Arabidopsis thaliana: one gene and its partner. The protein of the gene in region 2 purifies or fractionates together with the protein of the main gene of each other region. This does not show direct contact. Each region holds a gene or a part of one and is shown on either strand. Other genes may lie near its edges.

Region 1 (15,805 bases), on a different chromosome or scaffold from region 2:
TATTGACGCTTGTGTTGACGATTCACGAATATTCTGACAAGAAACGAAGACTAACCATGAGATCCATGTACTGATCAGCATCAAAGGAAGTGCTGTTGATGTTATCGAAAGAGGCGTTGATGGAGGAACCACTCGTCGAGATTGAAGGATCCGGTGCGTAGAAGCTCGACAATAGATCTCTCATTCTCTTCGCCTTTTCGTCCATCGGAGCTGCCTCCGTCGCCATTTTTCTAAACTCCTGCTTCTTCTCGACGACGAAAATATCTGTTACCGGAAGCAGAATTTTGGCGTCGGAGATTCGTAATGTGAATTGAAAAAGCAAGAAGAAACTGGATCCGACTAATCAACTGGGAAACGGATCCGTATCCGATTCGAACCGGAATACGGTTTAGCAGTCGGATTACTTTTTATGAGATTAGGCACTGGTTTAGTGTGATTGGTTCGTTCACTTATTTTAAATCAGTTTTATTCGTTGAAAAGTACATAGATTGGCTTTAGCTGTTCAAAAATCCATAAATTTGAAACTATTTTTCGAAATGATACATTTTTACTTATTGACCCCAATAATTCATAAATTGTTTTATCACCTATACAAAGTCCAAACTCGATGTCAAAATAAAATAAAATCTCAACTCTATAATAATTAATTAATAAAGACAAGCTTAAGTTATCAAACTTCAAATATCATCTCTCACAACTCTATAAGTTATTTTTATAAAAGTTACTTCTCTTAGCCAGTAATCATCAATGAGATTGGTGCTTTCTGGCTCTACGATGAGTAATGGCTGAATCATCTTTCTTGGAGCCTTCAGGTTTGCGAGCCCACACTGGTGCTTGGTCTGGTCCATATCTATAGTCATAGAAAAGCTCTTCGCTAGCTTCTATTCGTTCGTTTGCAAAAATCCCGACCCTGTGATCTCCTGCTACAAACATCACCTACACCACACAGAAAAAGACACCGTACTTATGCGGGAAGCGATGAGACCATGGTTACTACGACAATAGACTGAAAATCGCTCTTTTTTGTAAATAATTAACACCTTTCGAAAAGGGTTGAATAAATCTAGCAGATGATATACACATGTTACTTTACACATTACAATCATAAAGATTGTAGAAACAAGTGTGTTTTGATCATAACCTACAAAGCTAGATTTGATCATCTGTTTTCTATAGTGCTAATTGCGATTAGTTTCTACAAAATGTTATAATCCTAGTCCTCCTTCTAAATGGAACTTTTGAGTGGCTAGAGGTGAGAAAGAAGGTATAATTACTAACCGATCATGTGGTTTTTTCATACCAAAATGGATATGAGAGAGAAGCATTTAGTACCTTAGCGTAGCAATTGGGTTTAGCTGAGTGATTGGCAAATTTCAGCTTGTCACCTTTGCGTTGAGCATCGAGGACGTACTGCAAATATCAAAAGCTTACTGACATATGCGAAATTCAAGAGGAAACTATCAGAAAGAAGGGTGAGAGATTTGGTCACCTGATCATTCAAGTCAAAGAGGAAGGACGAATTTGCCCGGTCATATATTTTCCCACGCTTATCCGCCTCATGGTGTGAGATCAATTCACCGGTGTATTCTCCAAGGTATTCATTTTTGCTGACCGAGTTCTGATGATCAGATGAGGTTCAGATTACATACAAGAGGTATGAAACAGAAGTTAATGAGGAAGATATTCACATGCTTTACCTTTAGAAAAGCACCCCATCCAGCAACATCAGACTTTCCCAATAGGATCTGGTAAATATAGCACATGAGAAACTAGATTTATCAACAATGAATGCATTTTATTTTTAGTAAATACATGATTTGATGACAGTATTATACCCTCTGTTGTTGCCTCAGGAGAAGTCTCATGTTTCCGCATTGCCCTTCTCCGCGTCTTGGTGCTTCACCGAGAGAACCATCTCCACAACTGAGTGAATAAGCAAGGCATCTTAAGTTACTCATCAAATAGTAGATTTGATTGTATATGGCACATCAAGAGATCTAGATTTAAAATGACTACCTAACCCAGCAATTTCTGCAAACATCTGGATCACATTCTCTGCCAGCAGCAAAGCAGGGACACTGCCTACTTCTGCATTGACTCTTTGCACAATGACATCCTCGGAAACGATTTTTACAGCTTTTTGAGCACCTGAATTAAATCAATGGATGGTTATAAGAAGATCCTCTGTTACTTCAATTGACGTTAATTTGTTTGCATACCCGCAATATTTCTCGCAGCAAGTTTCATTAGTTAGACAAGGGCAATCCTTTCCGCACATTGACAGGCATCCACACGGCGTGTATTGTTTACAGGACTGGTTTTTGCCACCAGCTATTCTTTTCCAGACAGACGGATGACCAGCAGACTTTGTAGAGTATTTTAGCTTCCGGGTTTTGCCTTTTCTACGGAACAATCTTGTCCTTGGAGGCACCTCATCATTCTGTCAAGTAAAGTAAGAGAGCGGTAAACCAAAATATGATTCTGACAGACATGGCATGCTAATATCAATAAAATCTCAAATAAAATAATCACTTGTCTAAGCCAACTTATGGTCAACTATCGTTTTCTCTTGTCCAATGCAGGTATCAGGGAAAAATTAAGCAAGGAAATTGGCTTTTCCGGATCAGAACTTTTTTCTTCTGGAATAGATCTCTAACCCTATCAGTCTGACAAGCTAACTTTCAATACAACAATGCCCAAAGTCGCAGATACTGCAGAAAATTTGAAAAGACAAAAGACCCTAGGAAGATCAAGAGCTTACATCATTCCCTGGGTCAGTCCTGCCATCATCCAACAGCAAATTTGGGGTACTAGATCTTCGAAAAACTGAAACTTCGTTTTCACGCATGTAATTGGACACATCTAGGCATGTCTTCAAGCCAGAAAGCAGGTTTCTTGCAATAAGACAGCTGAGATAGCACGGACAAAACATACTAGATGTAAATACGTTATAGGTGTTCTGTGTTTAAAGATAATAATTTACCAAGATCCAGTTTACCTGTTTCTTCCAAAGATTTCGACTCCCTTCAAGTAAAGATCCTTCTCGATAGGATTCCACTCTGTAGATGGTCGACTTGTCTCAGACATTTCTGCAATGATTATTGCTCCGTTTCCACTACCATGGTGTGGCTGACAAATTGAGGAACCACCATCATGGACCGAATTGTCTGGAATAGGCTCACCTACTTCTTTTGCATCAGCTTCTGAGTCTCTGTTTACTTTATTGTCAGTTGTTCCACCTTGATCACCCTTTGTGCTATCCAATGCCTGATCTAAGCTAGGGACAGAATTAACAAATGACATTTTTGTATCTGAGGCTGCGGTCTTCTGTTTCTTGTTCGATAAATTAGGCAGATCATTGGAGTCTTTTAGAATTGGGACCTCACGCTTTCCTCTAATTCCATGCTCTTGTTCTACACCAGAGGATGAATCTACATTCTTGATACCAATATCAGTCTTCTCAACTTGCAGACTGACACCACTAGCAGCAGCATGGGGAACATCAGAGGAGACAGCCTTGCTGCATTCCTCTTCTGAAGCTTTCTCTTCTGCTTTAGATGCAAAATTACTGCATGTTTCTGGTACTTCTCTGACCGCCTTGAGCTAAAATCATTAACATAAGAATAATGGTGATTCAAACTCTGGAACCAAGAAAAATTACTGCATAAACAAGACTATGCACTAGTACAACTACAATGAAAGATCACTCCTCTAGCAAACGCATACATGCTAAACCTCAATCTAGGTCAGAGCATATATTCCATGATCTCACTAATGAATATAGTTTATTAACTACGAATATACAAATCACTCTGAGAATGTAAAGAGACAGAGAGAGAGATAGACCTGGAGGTAACAATGTTTGCTGCAGGGTTTCCTATCACCTTCATAATCAGACCAATAAGGCTGTTTTTCACTCTGTCAACCAAAGTTCTCTTGTTATGTTGTCCACTGAAACTTTAGCAATACAACTAAAGAAAGTAAAGACAAATTCAAGCTTACAGCACTAATCAAAGGCTGAGAACATCCATGCAGACGACAGTCAAATACCTGTTAGAAATAACCAAAGAAGGATTAACATGATTAACAAACACTTAATAATACATGCTCTCTCTGTCACAAAGAACAATCCAAGTACCAAGCAACGGCGGCAGAAAAGATTATCAAAAGAATCTAGAGCTGCACCAAGGCCCTTTTCCAGAGATATTCCCAGCTTGAATCCGGAATTAGAAAATTCCTCGGTATTCTGCTTATCCTTCAACTTGAGCTCATTGTATCTTTCCTGCAGCAGACAGGAAAGCCAAACATCATTAGTGAAGAAGAATAGGAAGACCAGAAAAACATCATTAGATAAACCACAAGAACAAGATGACTAAAAACTGCACCAGGATATCAGAAGCATCTACGCTTAGCAACTGGCAAAGGGCATCCTGCACTTCCTCACCCATGCCATACTCCTGCCCAATTAACCTGCCAATTCAAGTCAAACGAGGTATGAAGAAATTCATATATAGTGAGATATATTTCAAACCTAATGCTAATGAAGAGTCTTACAGAATGAAATTTGATATGAATACGAAATATGACATCTTTTTTTAGCATCAACAAATGTGATTCATTGGTTAATAAATTCCACCCAGGTACTTCTTCAAATACCAGTATCACAATTTTTCCCCATCAGAGTACATGAGAGTCCATAATTTACACTCTCTGCAAAACTAACCATATAATGGAATCTTCACCCTCGGAAAATTCACGTTTTTCCTCCTCAGGTTCTGGTTCTTCCTCACTATCGCTGCATATTAGCGTCTCACCACCATGTTGTTCATAGTAGATTTGTCTTCGACCAACCACAGACTGATCTTCAGCCATTCTTTGATTTCTGCATGGTTAAGATATTTTTTCAGAAAAGAAAAACAACACATAATATGAAAACTGAATTTGATGTTCTAGTCTATTGTTCAACTGAATTTAGAATAGCATGCTACCAACGCAAAAATGAGAACTAGAAAAGGTGCATGCCTGTCCAAAAATATCCAGGTAGTGTATGGCGGTATTCTCTCAGCAATAGGAAGCTTGACACTTGCTGATATAACATCCTTAGTAGGAACATAGTCTCTATCTCCCACACCATGAGAAAAACCATTTAACTTGCAGAGTGGCATTCTCATTCTCGAAGAAAGCATATTGCTATTTCCATTATCCTCTGCGGTAGCTCGGCTCGATGCAGCAGATGAAAAGGGAGAAACATGAGCATCCACTTTCTTTCTATTAGCCTCAAATTTCTCCTACATTCCCAGGAAAACAATCAAAAACGGATAAATGATTTCAAATTTTTTAGACATTAGTATAATTAGTAAAGAACATCAAGTATAGAAACTCTCTTACTTTAATAGACCTAACTCTTTCTCCTTGAATTTTCCTTTTAAGCTCACTTAATCTGTTTTCCAAACCCTCGAGTCTATCTTCTTCTTCTTCACCATCATCATCATCATCTACATGAGACTTCTATTCAGAAGCCCAAATCAAAACAAAAATCGTGTAAAAAACAAAAGCAACGAGGAAAAACACTAATTCTATAAGGTCCATCAACTCCAACAGTGAACAAAAGTAAGAGAGCGATTATAATTTGATGAACTCAAACGGATTTCACGAACAATCAGCTGAAAAAACGCGAATGATCATGCGCATACGAGCAAAATCAGATAATAAATCAAAAAAAAAAAAAAAAGAGGAGATTGAAAGGTAAATCTGAGTACGATTCGTCCAGAGGAGTTGCTATCGTCCGTCACCATTGATGACTCCTCGAGCTTTCCGCTTCTCTTCCGCTCGAACTTTCTCTCTCTCTCTGCTTTTTCCGCAATCAGACTTGTGAGAAGGACGAACGGAGTGTGGACTGGAAGGGGGGTTACATTACATACAAAGAACGCCACACGTGTGAATGAATAGTGCTTATACGTGTGTAATTTAATTAGTGGTTTTGCGACAATTATTTTCTATTTGTGATTATAATTGTATGTTATCTTAAAGATAACTATTACGACATGCCTGGCTCTGGAGCCGTTGAGGCTAATAATGGCTAATATTATTAACGTCAAAGTCTCTAGAGCCACACAGGTTATAGCAGTTACGTTTGAGATAAGTATTAGTTGTAAAGTAATAAACTCTGAACGTAAAAATATTAAGATATTTGTGATTATAATTGTATTTTATCTTAAAGGTAACTACTATGATTTGTGTGGCTTTAGAAACTTTGACGTTAACAATACTAGCCATTGAGGCTAAGAATATTAGCTGTAAAGTAAAAATCTCTGAGCGTAAAGATTTAAACTGTAAAGATTTTTTTTTTTTAACATATGTATGCTTCTTATAAACTTGTAAAGGGAGATACAAATATCTTTCTAACCATAATGGTGGTACAGAGAATTAATTAACTGAGCCTTTTTAGATAAGATGTCCGCAGCTGCATTTCTTTCCCAATTAACATGTGCTAAGGAAGAGAACGGAAGCTTCACCATCCAATAACGAATATCATAAAGAAGAGTGATGATCTTATTATGATCACTCTGCGTATTGATCAGATTTACTAGCTCTGCATTATCGCTCTCAAACCACACATAAGTACATAATGTAGTCCTCGGGACCAAGTCACTTGAAGGGCATGAAGAAATCCGAGAGCCTCTGCTTGAAGAGATAATTGTGACGATTGAAGTTGAGCACGCCCTGAACTAAGGAAACATCCATTGCAATCTCTGTAAATCCATCCTGAATGTATGACAGTCCTTTCCTGAACATAACCACTATCAAAAATAATAATAATAAAAACTGTGATTTTAACTAATAAGAAAGGAATTACTTTAAATATTGGTTTGATACCATAAAAATTATATTTAAAATATTAGTTTTTCAACAGATTATATTTTATTTAGATTATTCCATAAAAAAAAAGTATTATACTGTTACTTTTAGCTGTAAAAACTTTTACTGTAAAAAGCCTTTAAAAATTAACAGTACAAACTAATCACCTGTACATAGTTTTTTTATATTGGAAAAAGTATATTCAAATTCTATTTGTATATCTGATGGTTGTGGCAAATATTAATTAATTAACGCAAAAATATATACAAAATTCTATCCTCCAATAAAGGAGAATCCAAAATCCAAAGAGCTGTAATAATGTCCCAAACTCAAAAGCTTCTCTGGTGGAAATTTTCTCACCGTAAGTGGGAGAAAAACAAATAAAAAGAAGAAAACCCTGGCTTCTATCATCGGCCTTCGTGAAGATCTTCTGAGAAAACAGTTGTTCGTGTAATATTTTCATGATCAAAAGCGCTTAGACCAGAATAAGGACCAGAAGAGAACATAGAAGAGGTTACTTCTGACTCGAACGTAGCTGATGATTGTCTCCGGTTAGGACGAGCTTTATTTGAAGTGTTTAAAACCGGGTCTTGATACTCAACCACCCGTTGAACCATTTTAAGTGACTGAACCACTTCGCCCATCGTTGGTCTCTGGCTAGCTTCAGGTGCAACACAAGCTGCAGCGATTGTGCATACTCTTATGAAATCTTCTTTCGGGTATTTTCCTTCAAGTCTTGAATCGACTAGTTCTTCTAACCGGTCTTTGTCTCTTAAAACTGGCCTTGTCTGCATCCAGAATCAAATTTTTACATTCGAGACTTCAAAAGCTTAAGTTTTCGACAATGAAAGTGCAGGAAGATCTAGGAGATGACAAGAACTTTCTACTTACCCAAGTGACGAGATTTTCTTGGCCTGAAGGTTGTGACATATCCACAGGTTTTCTACCAGTTAACAATTCGAGAAGGACCACACCGTAACTATAAACATCACTCTTGACGAGTAGGTGTCCCGTCATTGCATATTCAGGCGCAACATATCTGAAAACAGATCGCGGATTCAATAGGCAACTCAGAATTTAAGGTTGTATATGAAAACTGTCGAGAGATATGAGCAACTCACCCAAATGTGCCCATAACACGAGTAGATAAGTGATTACCCCTGCCTTCAGGAGCTTGTTTGGCTAGGCCAAAATCTGCAACTTTGGCGTTGAAGTTGTTTTCAAGGAGTATATTAGAGGCTTTAAAATCTCTGTGTATAACGGAGGGTTGCGAGTCTTCATGAAGGTATGCAAGTCCTCTTGCAGCATCAAGTGCAATCTTCATTCTGGTGTCCCAATCAAGAGGACAGTTCAACCCGAGAGGCCCTGAAGCATAAACAATGACTTAAATAAACCACTCTTGTAGATGAACTCAGTGTACAATAACTACTTTTGACAATGTCAGATCTAAAAATAGGCAGCAAGGGAAGCAAAGAGGAGATATTACCATGGAGCCAAGCCTCGAGGCTGCCATTTGGAACAAGCTCATAACAAAGTAGGTGCTGAGAAGAATCTCGACTACTATAGTAACCCACAAGTTTCACAAGATTACGATGATGAAGACGGCTAAGCATATCAATCTCCACCTGGAATTCTTTATCACCTTGTGGCCCACCACTTGTGAGCTTCTTAATCGCTACAGCAGTACCATCGGCTAAGATGCCTCTGTAAACCTTGCCAAACCCACCTTCTCCTAGAATGCTAGCAGATTCAAAATTGCTAGTTGCCTCTTTGAGTTCTTCATATGACAGAAACCGTGTACTTGCTGGGTGAGGAAGAGATCCCCCAAATGAACCAGCGTCCAGGTTCCTTGGTTTTACTGAAAGAAAGGAATATGCGATCAAGTTTTTACTAAGAACAAGAACTAAAAGTTAATTGCCAGGATTTAGGAAAGTAACATAAATCACACTGGTAAGTGGACAGCAATCATTCATCATCTATGTATCCCCATTTTTCTCAATCCTTTTGTTTGATTCCTAAGGTCTGTTGGCTTTTTACATAAGGTCTGTTGACAACTAACAACACAACTTTAAACCCAATATAAAAGTTGACATTATCCCAACATCTATGCTAACTTCCCAATGTGCTGCTCACATGATGTGTACCTTTTGACATGATTCACGTATTCCTAACTGAGATCGGCCTATAATTTAAACCTTGTAATCAGAAGAGGTACATACCAGCTTCTTTGTGAGGATCTGGAGCTTTCTCTTCTCGGAGTGCGCGGGAACAAATAACAAGTACAGTGATTATGGCAAGTATAAGCACACCAGCGGCTATAGAAAAGATAAGAATAAGATTGGGATGCCTCTTTTTCCCTGGAGATCTTACTGACGTAGTTGCTGAGGATCCTTGTGATGGTGCTTTATGAGGTGAAGAAGCCACTAGAGGTGCTGCAAACATATTAAGACCTATCTTAGTGCAAATGCAAGGAATCATGGTGATATACTCCAAAAAGCATCAAACTGGGAGATGCTTTTTTAACATAAAAAACTATATCAGTCTACTTTCTTTCGGCTATGCTATCTTGAATGTGATGAAACTTTGACCGCAGATGTGAAATCAAATGTGCAGAATTGATGGGGCGATTGAATTCTTTCCCAGATACAATTGTAGAAAAGTACTTTACCTTGCGAAGGTGCAGGGGCCTCAAACCAAGTAAGGTTTAGAAGTTTGTAATCTCCCACCAAAGTAGGGCTAAATTGAATCTTGTGGCTGATAAGGGAAGAGTTTATTGCGGATGCCTGACTAGCTGAGAAACTAATTCCAGAATGAGGGGTGATATCCATCGATATGTTCATCCTTGATAAGCTTAGCACATAGAAGTTAATCAGCTCGATTTGGTGAGGTAGGAGACCAAGCTGGGTAGCAAATTCGTTCAAGAACATGTTCCAACTAGGAGTTTCTGAAACATTCAAGAGAAGGATGTCCAGTTTTATAGGATACACGCAGTGGCAACCAATACTTCTTCGTTTAAGCACCATATCTGATTTGCAACAATCTGGAAGAACAACAAATAAACACAATGAATCTTGAATCAAAAAGTTATTCAAATTCAAAATGGAAAAGAGAGAAAGTTGAACTTAAATTATCCTTGTAAAGGCTAACATTGATTTAGTTATGAGAATGGATAATTTCTTACTTGAAATGGAGGGCGACAAAGGTGGCTGAGTTAAGGCATCAGGAAGAACACCATTGCTAGATTGTGCTGGAGCAATATCAGCCAAGCCGGCTCCAGGAGACTGAGCATTCCTTTTCATGGAAGGTTTGGAGAAATGTGAGCTGGTAGGGGGATGATCAGAAGCGACCAAACGACTATAAGGGGGAGAATGCTGAGGTGCTTCTGCTTGTTGTGGTGCGAAATACTTTCTGTGAAACCGCGGAAATTCAGCTGGTAGGGGCAGATCAGTGATAACTGGTGAAGTTGAAGGTGATAACGTTGGTGAAACTGGCAGTCCTTCATGTTGAGCATCAGCTAATTGAACACTGACGAGAGAAACCACACAATATACAATAACCACCGCCTTCAACGCCATTATTAGGTCATCTCTTTGTGAATCTGGGATTGTTATATCGTTAAAAACAGTGAGATAGAGCTAAGACAAGAACAGAACTAAAGCTAGCCATGTGATTAGGTATTGCAACCATTCGGGAGTAATTTTGAAAGAATGTCTTTAAGCAACCTAATGAATTCAACCTACTATTCTATATTCATGAAAATATACAAAGACATGGTCCAAAACCCAAATCACTTCCAACATACTTTGCCTTTTTGAGCCTGGATAATCTAACATATAGGTCCAGAGCTAAAGATCATGTACCATATATTTAGAAACTATAAACCTAAAAATCTTGAGCACGATAAGTTCAAATCCAAACTACATTCCAAATCTATATTGTGACTTGATATTCACTAACCAAAATCAGAGTGACCTAACAGATAAAGAAACAAAGTAACTAGATATCACATAGGTCCCATAGACAAAATTAGAAATCCGAAACATCACAACTTTTTTTCCTCCAATTTCAAAATTCCTTAAAAATCGAGATCACTACACTTGGAAGAGACAGTATAAGAAGCTAATAGATAAACGAGAATTTACCAGAAGAGCTCGCGAGTGAGAAAATCGACATCACCGACACTTTCTCTTGCCTTGAAAACCCTCAGATCTACACAAAAACTCGCCGCGAGAACAGAAACTCACAGCGGAAGACGAAATCTCAAGAAAAAACGAAACGTAAAAGACCTTAAACCCGGAAAAAAAAACACTCTTCAGGGGGTTTTCAACGGTGGATCCGAGAAGAGAGATATATTAACACCACTAAACAGAGTTCCGTAAACCCTAGAAAGAGAATCCGCCATCGTCACCAACGATTTTCAGCTCCCAGAAAAAAAATATTCCGTTGGCGGAGATTTCTTCGGATTCACTCAGCTTTTAGTACTGTAGAAGCTCCATCTCTCTCTCTCTCTCTCTTTTTTTCTCTTTCGAGAAATTATTTTAAAAAAAAATTAATTGTTTAGTCCAAAATGTTTATTTAATATTCTTTTTTTTTTTTTCTGATCGTTTCGGTTTTTGAATGCGCGACAAAAAGAAGAGAAGCGTGCGGCGTACTTGAGCGTATATGTCCACGCACACTAAAATACGCCGTTAACGGAAAACAAACATTAACGGTAGCTAAAAACAAAAAGCGTCACAGTCAGTCAGTCAGTCACTATCGGACTTCTCTGTTAATATTTTGATCCGTTAAAAGTTAAAATGAAAACCAATGTTAAACCGGAAAAAATAAAAAATCCTTTCTTACAATGGCAATGGTATCGAACAATTTACTTAAGGTTCTAAAGGTGAAGTGGCAGTACAATATTTTCGAAAGCTTTTCTCAAGAATAGATAGCTAGCTTGAATGATTCTGCCCGGTGAATAAGACGATGAACAGATAGCTAACCAAACATGTCAGTAATGTAGAGATTCGACGAGCAGCTTTCGGAATTTATAGTGGCAGTGTACCAAGAGCCGACGTGAAGACCAGACCCAGACCAAAAATGGGTAGAATAAAGGGGCATCGGTGCAGAAGCTCATCACAATTTTTGGATTTTTTTTTATGTTTTAACTTTTAAGACCCATTGTTAAAAAAATATTTAGACTATAGCCCAATTTCTTAACAATGGACGACTTATAAAAACCTTGTTACGTTGTTAATTTTTCCCTCTCTTCCAAATTATTTGATGCTTTGGGTTCTTTTACTTGTTCCACAAAAGATTAATGTTTTGTAAAAGTATAATTATTAATTTTGTTTGTGGCCAATATTAAAAGGAAGAGATAACAATAATATTATTAAACTAACAAAATAATACTTAAAAAATAAAAAATTTACTTTTTCGTGCAAAACGTAAAACATCAAATTTTATGAAATAGAGGGAATACAAACTTTAGCAAATATTCTAGATGGTTAGTAATCAGAATCATCAAACATTAAAATATACTATTTGATGATTAGGATTTGAAGAATAAATAATTTCGGTAAATAATTTTGTGTCCACATGTTTCACTTTTGAATAATAATATTTTAATTTATTTAATGATAATGTGATCGTGTTACATAAAAGATGTATTTGTAATTTGCTTTTTCCTTAATATTTTTTTTGTTGTTCTTTTTTGGCATGCTATAATTTAATATTTAACAAATTTTACATGTAACGCTTATGACGTGGCCACATTCACTAATCACAACACGCAAAAATCAAAACATTTGTTTCTAAAACGTAATGTAGCCGTTATTAGCGTTGGCGACAACGTTAGGAATGTGCCACGTGGCGTATATAAGCGTATCAAATTCCCTGAGATTTCTATTATAATGCCAAAAAAAAAGGTTTTCATTATTCTCTTTCTCTGCGACTCTTTGATCGGCGATTTTGAATTTTGCTCTGTAAGTTTTCGTTCAAATCTTCGGTTTCATCTGGATTTATCATGACTTATCGTTCTCTTCAGTCAGTAATTTCTGTAATCGATGTTTAGGGTTTCAAATTTTCAAGTTCTTTCCCTTGTTGTACTCGATTTGAGTATAACTAATCGGAGATTGATGGTTTTCTCTTCGGTTAGTATTCGCCTTTAAGTTCTTTCTCTCGTTTCTCTCTTCAATTTGGGTAAAATTAAACAAAGATTTATATAATCCTCTTCATCGAATTAACTCTTTAGGGTTTCAAATTCTCAAAAATCGCTTTTCTTTTAAGATCTTGCGATCTTTTTTGTTTTGATTTACTCGATTTTACTTCCAATTAATCGAATATTTGTGTTTGATTCTTTGAATTAGGGTTTCAATATCTGTAATCGTGAATTTAATTTTGAGTACAGTTAAGCGATCAAAGACTTGTATATTTACCTAACATTGTTTTTTTCTTCTTATTGTTGCAGATCATGTTCGTATAAGAAGACAGAGACTGGATTCTTCTCTCATTGATCACAGAGAGTTTTCTCGAGAATGCTTTCGCAACAGTCTACATACTCTTCAGGTAATTCTCTGAACTGTGGTTTCCAATTTGCTATATAGTTCAATCCCAAGAGATTAGACATACGGTATTATTACTGGTTGCCCTTGTGTCTGAATCTAAATTGGGATAATTTGTCCCTCTGTGATGATCTAAAAGATCGGAGACAATTTGTCCTGAATCTCGAAAGATACCTACGGCTTAAACCGTTTTTACGGTATAAAAACCAACGGCTTAAATACAATTGACAATCTCAAACCCATGGCTTTGACAGAGCCCTTGGTTCAGATGAGAGTTCCTTAAGGTTCAAGTTTCAGATGGGAAAAGGGAACAGAAAAAGCCCCTTAAGGTTAACACAAACCAGTGACTACTTGGTCTAAATGTGTGTGGTATAAAATAAGCCATACACAGTGAGATCGCAAATTTAAAGAGGATATGTGCACCAAATGATAACTGACGCAACTTTTTTATTTTTCCAGATATTTTTGAAGACTCAGAGATTTCAAAGTGTCTATGGACTTCAAGATTGGTATGTGTTTCTCCTTAAACTTGTATTTAATTAGTTTTATATTGTTACATACTTAGATTATGGCGCAGATCACAGCGATAATTGAAAAATAGACTCTGCATAACATCCCTCAGGTACTTTCTTGGTGATTTTTAGAAATTGTTTGATGCAAGAATATGAAATTACTTTAGGATAAGGCATGTGCTTCTCCTATGTTTGTATACGATTGGTTGATATAAGTATTAATGTTAGAAATCTTAAGTTAACAAGATCCTGCTTTAAATACCTGAGCAACTGATTCAATGGAATTTATTTGACAATCACTCTTCTTAGTGCAGGGTATAAAAATGTCAACAAAGATAGAAACACTATCATAATCAAAACCTACTTCTGATAAAAATGAAGAATTTGTTACATTAATTGCAACTCGGTCTTAGGTAAGTAAACAATTTAGATAATCGTTAGAAAAAGATACCTTTTACTTGTTTAGTATTGTTATGAACATTTAGACGTGAGAATATGATTTTATTGGTTGTTTTATGGACTATTATGTGGACTATGGTTTATAATTTGAAGCTATGGCTTAAATCCGTTGGTCATTCTATGGATTATTCTTTGGAGCGATGGCTTGAATTTTGTTAGTGGTTGCATGATCTGTACTTACTTAAATATGTGTATTGTGTGGTCTAATATGCTAACTTGAATATGTGCTTGTGTGGTTTATGCTTTGAAGTTGTGACTTTTTCGGTTGTTTGTTGTGTAGTATTTGTTTGCTTGAATATGTTGGTTGTTACACGGTGTTTTCTTACCTTAATCTTTGTGTTGATTGGTTTAGTGCTAACTTGAATACCTTGTTTGTTTGAGTGGTCTATGTATTAATTCAAAAAATAGCTATTACTAACATTGAAATTTATGATGAACTCGAAAAGAGATGGTTATTGATTGTCCTTGGAAGATTATCTTACTTGATTTGTAATGATTGCTTAGTAGTGGTTCGATATGAGACCTTTCTTTTGTTATGAGTGTCTGAGAAGGGAGAAAAAATATTTAGTGCTCAATTACAATTTTCGTTGATCAACAATATCTCTCCAGATTACTATAAATTACGATTATTCATGGATATACATTTTAACAAGTTATATTTCATCATCTGTCTTTCAAGTTTGATTGCTCCGTTAATTTACTAATAGAAATCATTAGTTTCTAGTTTTGTGTTGTGTTTCTTCGTGTCTGAAGCTAATTTTGTAACCGTGAATGATACTAGTTCTCTTGTTTCTTGAAAGATTTCAATTTCTTTGTTATGTAAAGTAACTGTTTCCAGAGAAATTGTTTAAGTATGAAATACTTGTTAGCAGGTTTTTAACCTTTGGGGTTAAAAAAACTGGTGAAAGACTCATCAATGTTTCCTCCAAAACATGAGCCTTTGATACCAAATGGTAATGATTGTTTCAGGGTTCTTCAACATCTTTAGCTTTCCTTCAATCTTCCACAGTCTTGCTTTCTTTAGGAACATTCTTCAGAATCTCTAAGAGAGACCACAAGCGTTTTGTTCTTAGTCTATTTCTTGAATGTTCTCTTCTAGTTCTAGTTTTTATGTAGCTTGTTTGGCTTGAAGTTATCTTCTTCCTTTTAATAGACGTTAGAATATGGTTTATAGAAACCAAAACAGAACCACAGAAATTTTTGAAGTGCTTAAAAGATAGATGTTACACATATGATGATGTCATCAGTTCCGTTTTCTGGTGATGATCAAATTGTAGAATTTGGTTTTAAATGTGGTTTCAGTTTTCCTATATATGTTGCGCAATTGTAGAATGAATGTTTCCATTTGTTCTTTACAGAAACAAGATTTGGTATACACTTGTCACCTAAGACTCAAAGTGCTTAAGTAGAAAATTGCGTAATTGTGAAAAGTAA
Region 2 (15,633 bases):
TATAGGATTAGAGGCAATTCAGGTGATCAATGGAGTGATTTGTTGGGTACCTCCATGTCTCAACGATCTTTCAAACTCGCAAATCCAATGTATTATATCCCCTGAAGGGCTTTATTTGACGACCTATATAAAACATTTCAAAAATCGTATATACTTACTATTAGAGCAATCAAAGTGTTTTTAAAGTTGGATTGCCTTTGCTTGTAACTTGTCAAGCTACTAAATGTACTAATAACAGAGAATGCTCTGTTTTATACAGAGTAGATAGTATATAGTACTACTCGTTTTAACTTCTTTTTTTCACAATGTATTCGTGATCATCTTTAGTTACACTAAACTCTAGTAAGCCAAAATTAAAACTCTTTAGTTTCTTTTTTGTTGACATCAAATAATAAGAAGTGCATTAAGAGAAAAAGTCACATTCATTATCGTTGCATACTCCAAAAGAACACATGTTCAAGCCTTGTGGCACATTCATCACAAACTAGCAGTAAGAGCCTTAACGAAAACATGTTGTTTAGGGACTGTAAGCACATGATCAAACCACTCAACCTTTCCCCAAAAACTAAAATTTAGGTGCCTTTTAAGCGCAATCACGGCACACCAAATCATCATCTCATCTCTGCCACCAGCCCCACAAGAAGGGCGATCCTCTTCCCATAAAACCGCCATCTTTCCACCATAATCAGCCAATCTAACAAACATATTCTCAGGTAAACTAGGTAGTCCTAACAAACCTTTCAATATTCTCCACATTCTTAACTTAGTATCATACCATCTGAACACTCCGCGATGAATATAGAACAAAACATTATTTATCTCGCAAAAAGAATATGAAGCCCTCATACCAAACATCGTTGGTATAGCCTTGTCCCATCTACCTTCCTTGTAAGCATACACCACTCCGTGAGTCGTCTCCACGTGAAACTTTCCATCAATACATGCGCTTTTGGAGTAAAAAATGCCTTTTGTCTTGCTGCATGGGATGGGCTCAGGATGCCACACTTGTGTTTTTGTGTCGAACACCTCGAACAAGTTCTTACAGGAGTTGGAATCGCCATTGCCATCTTTGTAGCTTCCTGCTACATATATCTTTCTGTCAAGGACGCTAGCAGAATGTGACATCAGCTCCACCCGCAAGCTTGGAGCCTCGCGCCACATGTGAGACTGGGAATCCAGAATCGAGACACTAGACGAGGAGGGTCCTAGGTAAATGGATCCACCAATGTTGTAGATATCAGAACCAACCGCCACGAGACTTGAAAAGTTTGCAGGAGGAGAATGGGGAATTGGCACAGTAGCCAAAACATACCCATTTGACTTCTTCTTCTTACTGGTGTCATTGGTTAGGGTTCCGTCAGGTTTCCGACAGAGAGTGAACCAATGTGTGTTAGGGCCAGAATCAAAATGAAAGCACACGTAGAGACAACTCTCAGTGTGGCCTAAGAGTGATCGGGCTTTGTAAAGGTCCGGTGAAGCTAGTAGAGATCGGAAGCTCTTGGAGACAAGAGAGAGAGTCGGATAGTACAATCTTGAGATGCGTGCGAAGATGCTCAATAGCAAATCATCGGGAAGTGACGACATGACTCTACTGTTTAAGTTCAATATGACACATAAGTTTTTCCTCTTTTTGTTTTCAATACTTTAGAAACAGATAAGAAAATAAAAAATTGAGAAAAGAGCATGTATAATTACTTGAGCAGCAATCTAGGGTTTTTGCCTCGGATCGGATCGAAGCAAAGGTAGATTATTTGTTGATCTCAAAGCGGATGCTACAGGAAGAGCGATTTGATCCTTCGCTTCCTAGGGATGATAGATCAAGAGCGCATTGAGTAAAGCATTTCAGTTCATGTGGATAAAATAGATATCACAGGGGTTTTTGTTCCCATAGATTGTTTCCTTTAGGGTTTGTAGTGACTTCTTCACAGGCCCCGGCCCACATGGCCTAAAGATTTTCTAAATCTATTCTAAATATTGGTGATTGACAGAACAATGATGAGACTGAGATTGATATCCCTGAAGATTTGCTGATAATTGAGCACGAACATCTAGAGAAGAAATAGTAAAGGAAGATTATGGAGACTCATTTGCAAAAGAGAGTGATCATAATTTCTTTGAAGAGAGAGATCGAGCTATTCTAAATCCAACAAACCAAGATGTTAATATGATTAACGAGTAATTAATATGCTATATCACATTATATCAGATAACAACGTTTTTTTCTTCTAATACCCACATTAGTTTATGAATTTTATAGGAATTGATTAGCTATATATTGCCATGTGTAGAATTGAGACGTCGGTTACAAACACAACTGATATTATGGTTTACTCTCAAGAGTTTCTGAATAGCATCAAATTGTTTAGATTGACTAACAACAGTTTGCGACTGAAGATTGGTGGCCCTCTCATGTTACTTGGAAATATTGATCATAAAATTGATCTATGCAATGGCACTAGGTTATATATCATTCAGTTGGCTAATCATGTTGTTAAGACTAGATTTATAATATATAATAGTGTTAGTGCTAAAGTACTCTTGATCCATACGATGCTTGTCTCTCAACATAAGCAAGGTTCCCTTTTTGAGAAAGTTTTTGATTTTGCAATCTAAAAAGGTGAGCTTGTTTCTTCTACCAAAACTAATATTTTTTCATGGACATATGTTGATGCATGTTTCCAGAGTAACATCCATGTCTGGTTTCCAGTGTACAAAGTCAATTAGTATTTCAAGTTTTCAACCATATGATATCCTAAATGAGTAAGGAACATGTATAAAGCATTACTCGAAGAACAAGCGTCAAAGATAAGCCAATGTACACATTTATAATTAAAAAAAAAAAAAAAAAAGATGAGGACAAATTCATGCATAAATATGCTCCTCTTTCTCTTAAAACACCAAAAGTAGTTAAATGAGAACCCAAAACTCTTCTTCTCTTGTCTTTCTTTGTTTTTCTACTTAAATTAATGATTTCTTGGGTTTTCAAATTTGGAGCTGTTCGAGAAAGGTATTACAGTTGTTCATGGTTCGGGCATCAAGAAGACCGTGGTTCCACAGTTTCACCATAAACACTCTCCAGCACCTACACAAAAAAAGCTCACTTTTATCAACAAAACCGCTTTCTTCTCCGATACACTGGAAAAAACAATGGAAGAAATGAGAGTTGAATTACCAAATCAAGTGCGGTGTTCGAACCATGATGGGTCCGTGCAATCTTGAGAATGCCTCGCATGCCCATGGAATGTGACCATCTGCTAATACTCTGCAAAGGGTCCAAAACCACTGTCAAGGTAATGCTTATAATGAGTCAGAGAACATGGATGCGTATGTTATCTAATTGTTCAGTTTTTTTTTTTTAACCAGAAGAACTCATGCAGGAATTATCCACAACCTTTACATGCGCGACTCTAAATGTTTATACTGGAAAACTCCACGTGACATGTACTGAAAAGAGATAAGACATACCGCTGCTTCCTCACAAACGAGTTCCACATGTGCATCATCTGTTTCTCATCTTTAGTCACATCAACGAAATCATCGAGCATCTGAAAGAATAGTAATAGGAAATAACGTTATTCACTATATGGAGAATCAGACAAACTATGTTAGAATCAACTATGTTAGAATCGAGTACAAACGGACACACTTCGTCTTTTAATGAGTGTTATATAAGCACTAATGATCTGGTTCTACTGTTCCATATCAAACCGTGAGGCTTGCTCACATATTTTCTATTGATCTCTGAACCATTACAATATTGCTCCTAACGTTTGCCCATGCCCAGTCTTCAATATTCCTTTCCCTTTCACATGAAACATATATCTACCCAACTACTGAGCTTTATTCTACCCAACTACTGATGCGGTGAAAATATTAAATTCAAAAACATACCCTTCTATCTTCAAAATCTGCCACATCATCATCAACTTCATCTTCACTATCCCGGTCCGAAAGTACTTGTTCTAGAGCCATGGGCTGCGATAGTACACATAGCAAAGTCAAAATCAATTGCAATCTTCAAAAGCAAGAGAGCTAAAGAAAAAAGATCACCTGAGCTCGATGAGAGTGGAAGAACTGTCTCTTCTGAAGGAGGCTTCGGCTGGAGGAGGAAAAAATTTGAAAAACTCACTCACATCATTTGGGATTAACAAGCTACTTGTTATAAAACTAGGACACAATTTTTCATGCATGAACCATATGTAGTTAAATATAAATTGAAGAAGAGGATAGAACGACAAAAGGAAGTCAAACATACTTCCTCAAGTCCGACCGTTCTATAGATATTTTCCTCGTTTTTGCAAACTGCAACATTGTACTTCCAGCTATCGACTGCACATAATCTGGATCCCCACATGATTGCACGTCTGCAGGACTCGTGCCAGGAGGAACTCTTTGACCAGACTCAGCACCCCCAATTCTTTCGTAATGCTTTCCAGGTGGTATTCGGCTCTTCTCACTTCTAACAGAATGAGCATCTGAAAGTAAGAATAAAAAGCTGTGCCAAATGATCCAACGTTGTTGCATGCAAAATTGCACATAACAAAGTAAAATACTCGTAAAATATACAACTAAGACAGGCTCTCATCACAAAAGAAGCCAATACTACAAATCCAATTAACTGTCATTTCAGTCAAACACATACCATCAGTCTTATCTAGCACCTCGCAACCTAATCCAAGATGAGGCCCTTGCCTTGAGCTCCGTACCTGACTCTTTTGCCTCCTCCGTCTGAATTTTTTGGAACTGTCACATATTGAAGAATTTTTATGGTCTCACACAGATGCTGGAAAGATAATAAAAGGCAACATATAGGCCAGATAACTTACGAAAAAAAGAAAGTTTGCTGCTTTGGGTCAACGTCATCCTCATTAACCTGAGCAGATTTTTTAATGAACATTAACATTTAGAAAACTGTGCTAAGAGTAATCATCAAATAGGAAAAACTACAAAGACATAGAATATATTGTAGAACCAACTACTTCAATTAGATTTGACACTCCTATATAATCCAGGACTTTATTCTACAGTCGAGCTTTGACGGTCTCATGGCCACAAAAAGTAAACAGAACAGCGATGTCATTTTGAGTTTATTCTCATCACGCTATTAAGGACAATAGCAAGGATCATAGTGTGACAAATAGCAACTAAAGATTCCAGTTCCCTTATTTAACCACACAAAAGTCAACAACCCATGGAGGATATTAGTTTAAATGAAAAATGAATTTGTTACAGCCTATAAGATATACAGCAGAGAAACTAATGAACATAAATCGAACAAACAAGATGTTCTAACCTTGGATATCATTGTCTCAGTCTTGAGGGAGACATTTACCGCCTGAAATTCTTCAGTTACCTAACCAAGTAAAGCAGATTAGTGGCACCCACAAAATAAAAAAAAAAGATCAAACAGGTTAACTGAATTTTAAAGCTACAAACCCAAAACTCGAAATTGAGGAGATCGTGGGTTGATGGCAAGTGATATCTCAGGCCCTACAACATGATTGGGAGAAAAAGAAAAGATTGCATCACTACAAAGACTAGTCACTACAGCTGTATCTTTGACTAAGAGGATGAATGAGAATGGAAATGAAAGTCCACCTTGAAACTGGCACATTTTACTAAGCAGAATGGACAAGAAAAGTCTTCAGTTACTGCAAGACACATAGCAAACATATACGTAACAGGTTAGGGTAACGGATGAAATATAGACACACATGGGTATGAAACAGGTTAAAATAATACTAGTTACCTTCAGTCTTCTGCAATTTGTTGTTATAGTATCTGTAGTTGAAAACTACATTTCCTGTTCTCAACCTATGCAATGAATGTAGTGGTATAGAGTCAACTTAACGAGATGGACATTTTTAGTTGTACGTAACGACTTGTATAATCCCCATAAAAGAGGAGGACAGTCACAATTCAAGAAAACTGCCAACTATATATTAAGGGAGATAGCAGACCGGCCAATATATTTTATACAATTACAAAAAATCATAATGAGATGAGGCAAGAAATCTGAGAGCGCAGAAGAAATTGCAGACTAAACTGAAGATTACCTGATAATTTGCAACAAGGAAGAGGAAGAGATGTCATTATATGAAAATGAACTATAAGGAGATTTTTCCGTTGACCCAACTTCTTCTGCAGATATGGTGACTTGCACTTGCTGCGGAGAGCTCTTCAAATAAGAAGTGTAAGAATTGTAAGAATATGATTACATGATATTTCAGAATAATGTATGGAAGTATAGCAAAGTGTGCAAAGTTACCGAGGTGAGTGGATTGCTGGGCACCTGAATCGAGACACACTTTTCCTCACTCATGGACTTTAGCTGCAGCAATGGACAAGTTATACCAGTAATATTTTCATTTAAATAATCAAGACTGAAAACTAATGGCAAAAATAAAATTCACAGTAGCAATTACTTCCAATTTACTTTTTCAAATAACAAAAGAAGTTCAATACACAGTCCTTATTTCAATACAGGGAGCATAAAGTCATAGAACAAGAGGAAGACTTGGGCAATAGTGTTTACCTTTATGAAGCAAGGCTGCATTTCAACAAGAGAGACTGTGTCTACTCTCTGTCCCAAGTCCATGTTTGGTGATTTCTGCCACGACGCATACAGTGATTGCAGAGGTATTTTGCTCCATAAACAATGTCCTCCTATATTTCCTGGCAGAAAAAAACGCTTCCGATGGTAAGAGTTAATGAAAAAAAAGACTTTCAGAAACTCTTATAATTGGAGTCAAAGAATCCCTAATTCTTTTGTTAATAAATAGGACTGAGATTTTCCATACTATTACATGGAAAATTGGTAATGCCCAAAGATACATAACTTTTCAATATTAGAATGTTATATCAATGAAGAAATGGAAGTACCTGAATGAATCTTGCCTGAATCAATGCCAAATTGAGAATTTTGCGCACCAGCTACAAGAAGAAAATTATGTGATCAGTTTATCTGAATACTGTACATATATAAATGTCTTTATATAATTTTGTACACAGTCAGTCTTAATCACCAAAGCTGATAAACAAGATAGCGAGTGATCCTGATTTTGCCTCCAATGCGAGTCTATTCATATCAGGGAGAAGAAAGTTGGCTTGGGCTTGACTAACTCCATCAACCCCCAATCCACCAGTTAGGATACATGCTCGACTGAACCTATATACTGCAGAATACTATAATTTGAGAATTTCAAGAAAAATGTTAGCAAAGAATAGGTAAGTTACAAATAATAAAGATCAATGCAAATCTGTCTGAGGTTCAAATGCATACCTCAGCGACAGGCTTAGGAGAAACGAGTCTTGCCAACAAAATATACAGAGGGAATAATTTTTGAGTTTGTACCCCAGCATCTATAGCGCCCGAGAGGAATACAGTCATTTGTATTCTGCAAAGCAGTAATATATATTGATAACTATCCGAAAACTTAGAAAGCATTCAAGTCCGGAATGAATTACTAAGGTATAGTGTAATAGTTACCCAAAAGTAATGGAGATTCTGAACAGAGAAAGGAAGGAAAAAAAAAAAGCTTACCTCCTTTTATGTTTTGCCTCAATCTTATAATGCAAACATCGCTGAAGAAACAAGGGCTACAGGGGAGACAGAGAGAGAGAAATGATTAGGATGGACTGCATAGCAAGACAACACATACTTGCTTATACCAAATGAAGTCAACTCAAACTACATTTTCATGTAAATTTTCATTGTCAAAACTCAAAAGTAAACCAATACATGTGATATATCAGCTGAGCTCATAAGTCATAACTAAACATATTCTGTCTAAAAAAGGTAGGAAGGAAGACATACATTCCTAATAGCACGGCGTTGAATGATATTGTAGAGTTCAACAGGCTTGCAATAGGCAGCCAAGCTCTCTTCAGCAGCAATCTCCTCCTCTTCCGAAATACGCAGACGGGAGTCTTCATGGCACATCTGCTCTGTGCTTCTTGAACAACTGTGATTTCACCATCATACGCAACCAAAATTGTAAGCAACCCCACAACAAAATAAAAATTTGATAAGTTTGAATTACTAGGATTCCTCAGCTTATACATAAGAGAAACAGTATAAAGTTACACAATGCTGCAGAGACATTATAGAAGCATTAGGTTGTTCATGAGACTTACGAAGAGGTTTCACGACTAACAAGAGGAATGCCTGGCATTCTCGCTACGAGATCCTAGAGTACAATACCATACCCAGAATCAGTGCATACACCATCACAGATTACAAATTTGCTTCAGCTACAAAAGCTGCAACAAAAATCGTAAAGAAGAAAAACCCAATAAATCCCACAACAGCAGAAACGGGTATCAAGCGATTAGCAGGAAAAAAAATGTAAACTTGAACAGTGGTGACCTTCAAAATCCAGCAAAGACTCGGAGTTGAGCTAATTAGATAAAGAACAGATTCAACAAATTGACAGAGATCTCGAAATCAAGGAGAAGGTGAAGATTAGGATGGAGATGGAACAGTTAACTCAGAAGAAAAAAAAAACCCTAATTGTGAGAAATTATCTTCACGCGAATACAGAGGTGACTTTGACAGCTTGAGAGAGAGAAAGAGAGAGATGAAGCGTTTCGAAGAGTAATAAAAAGTGTAAATTGATGATATTGTTGAGGAGACCGTAAATATTTTTGCTCTTGAGAAAATAAGCGTAAACCATGTCCTAAATCAGTAAAATTCGGTGCACAATAAAATCTAATTAAAACTCTTTTCACTAATTGAAACTAAATTCCCCAATGGCCATGAGAAAGCATAATTTCTTAACTATTCAATATAAGCCACTTGAGTTCAAATTAGAGATCCACCAAAAAAATGGATGACAAAGTAGTCATAGTTCCTTATCCCCCTAAAATGATAATGGTATAAACAAACATATTTTATGGTATCATCAACTCTTACTATCTAAAATCGACCATCAGTTTCGTGTCACCAATATCGGTAAAATGTGTTTGTTTTTGCATAACCAAGGTTTTCCGTTCCTAATAACGGCGTAAGTTAGCACTGTAATTGAATATCTGGCCAAATAGACGCTAACGTGGACGACTACCTAGCCCCATCATCAATCACACAGAAAAGGAGTCGGAGAGGGTTTTTCGCCTAGGGTTTTAGAATTCGATCTTACTCATTCAAATTTCTCCCTTCAGATTTATTCATCTGTTGAGTAAAACCACAAGGGTTTCTCTCTAATGTTGCCCAGATTAGCTCGAGTCGTCACTCAAACCTCAAAGCTTCGATCTTTGACCACTAATGGATCGATGAAAAATCTCTCCTTTTTCTCCCGATATGGGTACGCGACTGTTGCGCCGGCGGCAGCTGATCCTCCGTCGCAGAAGGATTTCCCCAGTAAATCTCCGGTATGATCTTAAAGTGGTAACATTTTGTTTACTCAGATTAAAGATCTCGTTTTCAGAAGTAGCTGTTAATGCGTAGTTGTTGTGAATGTTTAGGTCTCACTATAGTATTCGAACCTAAGCTCAATTTGATTCTCTCTGTTTCTAGTTTCATCGAATGCGGGACTAAAGTGACTTCTGCCTCCCCATTGTACCTCATTTAGGATTCATCCCTTTTTTTCTGTTGGAGTTTCATTAGTATGTTTGTGATTTAGATTCATGCTCTTTTAGTCAACTGCTTCTGGACAATCGTGTCTTCTTTGATGAAAAGGATTTGTTCTATGTTTGACAGATAAACTTGGATAAGATGTTTTGGTCAAAGCCATGTTCATTGGCTCTGCCTAAAGACTCTCCTCTCAGAATTGATGAACCAGACTATGTAGGGATTCGTCGTTTCATACTAAAGATGATGATGTTCTATAGCAAACAGAGCATGTCTATCCGTGGGGCTAACGTGATCTACAAGCGGATCATTGCACAAGTTGATAAACCTGCAATATATGATGGTACTTTATTTGGTTTCCAACACAACTTTTGCAAACAGAGTTATGTATTTACATTTTGTGCTTTGTTTATATATCGGGTGCTCTGTCTCTGCTGCAGTATTCAACTTGGAGAAAACATTCAAAATAACGTATTCGCTGCTTGTCCTTCATATGTGGCTTGTTTTACGCCGCTTGAAGGAAGATGGACAGGAAGGTGTTGACCTTGGTCAATACGTCTATGAGATCTACAATCATGATGTTGAACTCAGGGTATCTAAAGCCGGGGTACGTGCTAGACTTGGTTTTGCTTTAATATAGTTTCGAAGAGATATCTTAGTTTCTTAGATTCCTTAAAATAAGATGGTCTTAATCTTTCTTGAAATTACAGGTTAACTTGCTGCTAGCCAAGTGGATGAAGGAGTTGGAGAGAATATTTTATGGAAATGTTGTTGCCTATGATGCTGCGCTACTTCCGGAAGCTAAACCAAATGACCTACAAATCAAATTATGGAGGTAAAGCTTCTATAACGTCATGCTTTATGCAATGAGTTCGGTAGAGATTACACAGCTAAGTAGCTCGGCTTGAATTTATATACAATATGGCAGCCATAGATAACGGATTTGTCTCAGAACCTTATATGCAATTGGATTGTAGGAACGTATTTTCTGATGATGGAACAACAACACCTGATAACACAGATTTAAAAACAGCACAGGCATGATTTTCTCCTCTCTATCTCTCTCGCAAACACACACACATTGACATACTAGTTTAGGCATTGTGTACCAAACTTGTTAAGACATTGCTTGTGTGTTTCAGGCAATGGCAAGATATGTCCGGAGAGAACTTGGTTCTCTTTCTTTAACAGGTACCTATGACGCTATAGTTGGAATGCCTCATTATGTTACTCGCATTTGCATTTCGAATAGACATGCCTTTTCTTATATGGTTCTTTTTTGTCATACACAGATAAAGAGTCCATATTCTCCGGCAATTTCTCCTTCACCCCTTTGGAGAACAAGCCCCTGTGATTTGAATGAAATTAGAAGAAGCTGTGGTGCTTTGCGAATCAATCTTTCATTTGTTTCTCTGTTTCATTTGATTTACTTATATCAAACCAAAGAAACCTACACAAGGGAATGTGCTAGCTGTTAGCATCCAGATGATCATGAAAACAATGTGAAAGTGAATAAGATTACTGAATTAGAGCATTTACTGTCATTGGTATTTGGTACTTTAATTGGCTTACTAATGCTCAAAATCTTTTCTACAAGGCGATAGCCGATTGTAATTACTTATCTGCCATTCAACATTTTATGATCTTGTATTTGAAACAGTATTATAACTATAGTATGTTAGATCGTGGAATTCATCATCTTTATTAAATTCTTCTTTTTGTTGGTCTTTGAGGTTAGCACAACAAATGAATTGGTACCACATAATAGCAGCGCTTTTATAGAGAACAAATGTTCATGGTTAAAGATTTCTGCTAGCGTAGAAGGAGATTATGAAGATTTGTGTAATGTACCAATGACACTGTCTATATGAAGATTTCCGCTCGCATAGAAGGATCAAAACATTACTCATACAACAACAACAAGATTACATCATACATTGCATGTTATTATATATCACACATTACAACATAAACGTTGAAAATAAAAACAAAGAGAAGAGATCTAACGATGGATGACAATTTAATGTGGAAATCGTTTTTAGCCTTTGAATTTTAAGAAACTTGTTGGTGTTGGACTCCAATGTTGTGCTGCCCATACTTAGTATCCTGCACTCTGCTTCCAACCTTCATCCGAGCATTCTCTATCTTATCCGATCCAGATCCCGTCATGTGCCTAAATACAATGACCATATTCTCCAATATTCAAACTTTCTATAAAATATAACGTGCATTGCAAGCTCGGTTTGAAACGGTAGGTCACATTTTGTGTGGGTCGTAAATTACCTGTAGAGCCAAGAGAAGGCGGTAATGGCGGCTATTCCAAAGCCACCGGATGCAAGGAATCCGGTAATGATGAGAGCAACGGTTACCACTGCTGGAACCAAGACGGGGCTGAAGATGACGAGGAGAGGAGTAGCCACCGTGAGTGCGATGACTGTTCCAGCGAGTGTTAAGCCGGAGAGGACAAGTAGGGATCCACCGGCTGTGACAGCGGTTGCTGCCTTCACCATCTGCCTGGCCTTCGGATGGGCCTCTTGGGTACTGTCTCGGCTTATCATCTCGTGATGGGTTCTTGTTTGGTCCGCCATTGGTTCTTTTTATTATAATATATCCCTCCAACACAAATAGTAGAAATTAGCAGAGAAAAGGTAGTGATGTGTTTTCGGAGTAAGTAATGATGATTTATGAAGGAGAGGAGCGCTGGTGGGGCTCGCTTGAGCCATGTCACGTGTCAAAAGTGTCTTCATGCAGCCGTTGCATGTGTTAATGAGTAGAGATGGGTCTTTTTTGCGACACGTACGTCTGGGTCTTTTTTTTTTTTGCTATAGTACACAACATGGACCGGGACATAAGTCACGTGATGGACGTTATTATCGATCGGTCGTGATGTTATGGTCACTCCCATTCCCCCACTCTATAGAACTATAGAAGCAAAGAATTAAAAGGAAGTTCGGAATCCACATCCATTAAGCCAATCGGCCCAAAACAACTTGGCTCACAGAGAATAGTATTAGTAGCTCTTCAACTCAAAGGTGTGAATAGTTAAGATTGTTGTGAATTAGTAGCTCTTCGCCTCAAAGGTGTGAACGGTAAAACTTAAAGGTGTGAATAGTAAACAGAGAATAGTTAAGATTGTTGTGAAAAAGAAAAGCATTAAAAGTGTGAATGGTAAAACTTTTGGCTTTCATAACTTTAAAATTAAGCTGGAGCTTTTAAAGTTTTTTCTCAAGAGTCTCAGAGAAAGTATCATTTGAAATCATGTGGATTTACTATTTTGTTATACAGACTCATACTACAAATTTAGATTTGGACATTTGACACACAAAAATACATTTCTTGAGAAGCTTATTTCATACACACTTTTGGATGGCCATTTCTTTTACAGTCGTTGCCAGTCTCTGGAACACCTTCAGGTTATGTCCTACTTTTCCCTGGGATAGACAAATCGGGTCACCACCACCTTTCACTTTCAGCACATAAATAATCGAAAACTCTCGAAAATCGATTAGGCTTACCTCATTCAGTAATGCAAGCCTATCTATGGTAGGTGACAATTTGCCACAGAGATCTGTAACTTCCTGTTGTATATGGGATTTTGAACCATATGATCCCCTTTCATTTGAACTAACGGATCTGCATATGTGAAGTGTTTAGCATAGTATCTTAGAGCAAACCCGTAGATTTCCAAACTTTTAAGATATCAATTGTTGAAGATAAAGTGGCATACCTATCTTGGAGATGGATCAGGATAATATTTAGTACATGCTCGGCAAGTTGCAGTAACAAGGTGATTAACTGGTCCCTGTTACCCACGATTTGGCACATTTCAACCATAGCTATGTATCTCCTGAGGTAAGTAACAACAGAGCCACGAACAAATAAAAACAGTGGTCAAAACGTCTTACTAATCACTGATAGAAAAAATCTGGAAAAATTCTATGTTAATACCCATTTCTGCTTTGGCATATGCACGCATGAGCGAGCAGAAGAAAGAAATTCACTAACCTTTTATGTATGTTGTCGGACGGTGTGACATATTCTTGGGAATCACAGATCTTGATGATCGCATCTACATCTTGTCTTGAGAGCTCGTTTATGTCTCTAATCTGCCAATCATACATGCAACTTCGAATGTAAAAAAAAAAAAAAAGAGTTTGAAACATGTAAATGGTAGGAATTAGAATAATATACCTTATGAAGAAGTAAGGACTTCTTCTCTGCTGCTCTCTCGAGGGAATCAGTCACATGCGAAAGAAGAGATGCAAGCAACAGCAATGTTGGTTGGCGTAGTTTAGTGGAACTATCAAGAGAATCATCTGAAACCTGGGACAAGGGGCATATGAGTATTTACTTGTAGTTCATTCAAACAACTGAATAATGTCAACGTGGAATGAAGAAACAGAGGGAAATAACTGGTAGAGTACCTGTAACCTCAGAGAATTTTTGGTCACCAGAAAATATAAGTAAGAAGTCAAGCTGAATCGCAACTGAGACAATTTGAGCTCTGATCCCTTCTGTCCACCAGATGAGAAACAAAAAAGAGAAACCCATCGAATATAAGAATTCAAGGATGTGATGAAAAGGTGCCACTAACACATGAAAAAATATATACTGATACTCAAATATGACCTGAACTACTTGTCCTACCTGCGATAATATCGATTTAATCGGGGAGGCGATGAAAAGCTTGCTCATCATATCAAATAGCCCTTGAACAAATCCATATCCATCGTTCTCTTCAAAAGGCCAGACCTACAGAACAAGCAATCTCACTTTCTAGAAAACGCATCTAACTAGCTTGTGGGATTTTATGAGCCCTTTTGAAGATGCCATCACGAAAAGAGAAGCAAAAGAAAATTATGAACTTATAGCTCGCCAAAGAATTACCTTGCTCAATATTCCCACTGCAAGAATAATTTGCTCCATCAATAAATCATCTGCTTGAGTAAAGTCTTCACGAAGAAGTTGGTCAAACAGAGATTGATGTCCTTTGATAAACTCAACGACGTCACGAACAATTTTATTCCTCCCCTATCAAACGCCCAGGTAGAGAAAGAGGAAATAACTCATTATAGTTCGCATACCAAGAAAACCAGTTACCCAGAATAATCGACAACACGGACTTGCATAATTAGTTGAATAGATTAAAGAATAGGTGAAAAGAATCTAATATTGAGATGCAGAATGTTTGATTAAGCTTCTACTTGTTTAGGCATTAAAGGTGTAAACAATAGCAATGGAAAAATAGTGACATCATTCAAGTTTCTACAAGACGCAAACAACCATTAGTTTTAGTGAAAGAGAAAAGCGCAATAATACTAATTTCATATCTCACGCAAAATGAACTTGGTGTCTGTCATTCAATTTTAGAAGGTCTGTATTACTCTCACACAACTCCTCAAATAAATCACAAGTAAGAATATAAAAACTGCAAAGTCTTAGAAAGGCCCTAAACGATCTCGAGGATAGTGTTTAAATGGCAACTCATGTTCACTAAACCAGGCCAATACATATGGAAGAGACTATTGAATTAGCAATGCAAAGGATCATAAAAAAGGTCATCTAAAGAAACGCGGCTGACCTCAAAAAATTCAGAGGTCTCAACCAATGAGGTTAGAGCAAACACCAGTCTTAGGACAGCAGTGATTATCGTTCGTTGCTTTTGCACATTATATCCTACATCACTCTGAAGTTTCATATCCACACGCCTCATATTTCCCTGGAAGGCACTTTTCGGATTAAAAGCAGAGAAAATATTGAGGTCACGGATAGAAAACTTGATAACTACAGATAATCTATTACCTTAAAGCTGATAGCTCTACATGAAGCAATATGTTCCAGCGCACCCATGGAGAACAGAACCTGGCCTCCAGACTTTCCGTACTTGTGACTAATTCTAAGTAGCAATGCAAGTTCTGCTTCTAACGTACAAGCTCGCTGTTGTGACTCCAGCAAATGTGTTCCATCCTGAGCCCAATAATATGATAAATACACATGCATGAATGACATGTCCTCGAAATAAGAAAACCCACATATAAATCAGGTCTCCAAAGTATGTAAACTAG

The links.
Region 1: the proteins of EMF2 (region 2) and SWN purify together in Arabidopsis thaliana (affinity purification with mass spectrometry, with the first as the bait; one study listed by BioGRID). This does not show direct contact.

The regions. Positions count from the first base shown.
Region 1 is NC_003075.7:876,683-892,487, reverse strand, and holds SWN (SET domain-containing protein), read right to left. Parts: upstream 5,909-15,805; 5' UTR 5,796-5,908; coding exon 5,760-5,795; intron 5,509-5,759; coding exon 5,389-5,508; intron 5,289-5,388; coding exon 5,023-5,288; intron 4,883-5,022; coding exon 4,724-4,882; intron 4,471-4,723; coding exon 4,386-4,470; intron 4,283-4,385; coding exon 4,139-4,282; intron 4,051-4,138; coding exon 4,003-4,050; intron 3,919-4,002; coding exon 3,847-3,918; intron 3,604-3,846; coding exon 2,999-3,603; intron 2,910-2,998; coding exon 2,762-2,909; intron 2,441-2,761; coding exon 2,220-2,440; intron 2,149-2,219; coding exon 2,017-2,148; intron 1,924-2,016; coding exon 1,836-1,923; intron 1,746-1,835; coding exon 1,698-1,745; intron 1,619-1,697; coding exon 1,490-1,618; coding exon of another isoform or gene 1,411-1,489; coding exon 1,333-1,410; coding exon of another isoform or gene 1,282-1,332; exon of another isoform or gene 937-1,281; coding exon 745-936; 3' UTR 501-744; downstream 1-500. Other genes in the region: AT4G02030 (Vps51/Vps67 family (components of vesicular transport) protein), read right to left, coding at 56-226; AT4G02010 (Protein kinase superfamily protein), read right to left, coding at 7,266-7,646, 7,750-7,897, 7,980-8,223, 8,345-8,716, 9,078-9,290, 9,527-9,898, 10,040-10,456, 11,001-11,031. UniProt on the Arabidopsis thaliana protein: Polycomb group (PcG) protein. Catalytic subunit of some PcG multiprotein complex, which methylates 'Lys-27' of histone H3, leading to transcriptional repression of the affected target genes, mainly abscisic acid (ABA) responsive elements.
Region 2 is NC_003076.8:20,816,694-20,832,326, reverse strand, and holds EMF2 (VEFS-Box of polycomb protein), read right to left. Parts: upstream 8,684-15,633; 5' UTR 8,369-8,683; exon of another isoform or gene 8,263-8,368; 5' UTR 8,175-8,262; coding exon 8,137-8,174; intron 7,965-8,136; coding exon 7,817-7,964; intron 7,600-7,816; coding exon 7,544-7,599; intron 7,398-7,543; coding exon 7,283-7,397; intron 7,186-7,282; coding exon 7,026-7,185; intron 6,934-7,025; coding exon 6,883-6,933; intron 6,676-6,882; coding exon 6,536-6,675; intron 6,332-6,535; coding exon 6,269-6,331; intron 6,179-6,268; coding exon 6,057-6,178; intron 5,815-6,056; coding exon 5,750-5,814; intron 5,652-5,749; coding exon 5,599-5,651; intron 5,491-5,598; coding exon 5,437-5,490; intron 5,354-5,436; coding exon 5,294-5,353; intron 4,874-5,293; coding exon 4,827-4,873; intron 4,744-4,826; coding exon 4,643-4,743; intron 4,476-4,642; coding exon 4,256-4,475; intron 4,100-4,255; coding exon 4,051-4,099; intron 3,976-4,050; coding exon 3,892-3,975; intron 3,546-3,891; and 7 more. Other genes in the region: AT5G51260 (HAD superfamily, subfamily IIIB acid phosphatase), read left to right, coding at 1-105; AT5G51250 (Galactose oxidase/kelch repeat superfamily protein), read right to left, coding at 478-1,584; AT5G51220 (ubiquinol-cytochrome C chaperone family protein), read left to right, coding at 9,202-9,369, 9,698-9,911, 10,009-10,175, 10,279-10,403, 10,546-10,606, 10,711-10,759, 10,861-10,922; OLEO3 (oleosin3), read right to left, coding at 11,621-11,741, 11,852-12,156; EMB3142 (nuclear pore complex protein (DUF3414)), read right to left, coding at 12,919-12,999, 13,084-13,201, 13,296-13,415, 13,574-13,674, 13,760-13,891, 13,993-14,082, 14,216-14,320, 14,456-14,599 and 2 more. UniProt on the Arabidopsis thaliana protein: Polycomb group (PcG) protein. Involved in flowering processes by repressing unknown target genes and preventing reproductive development.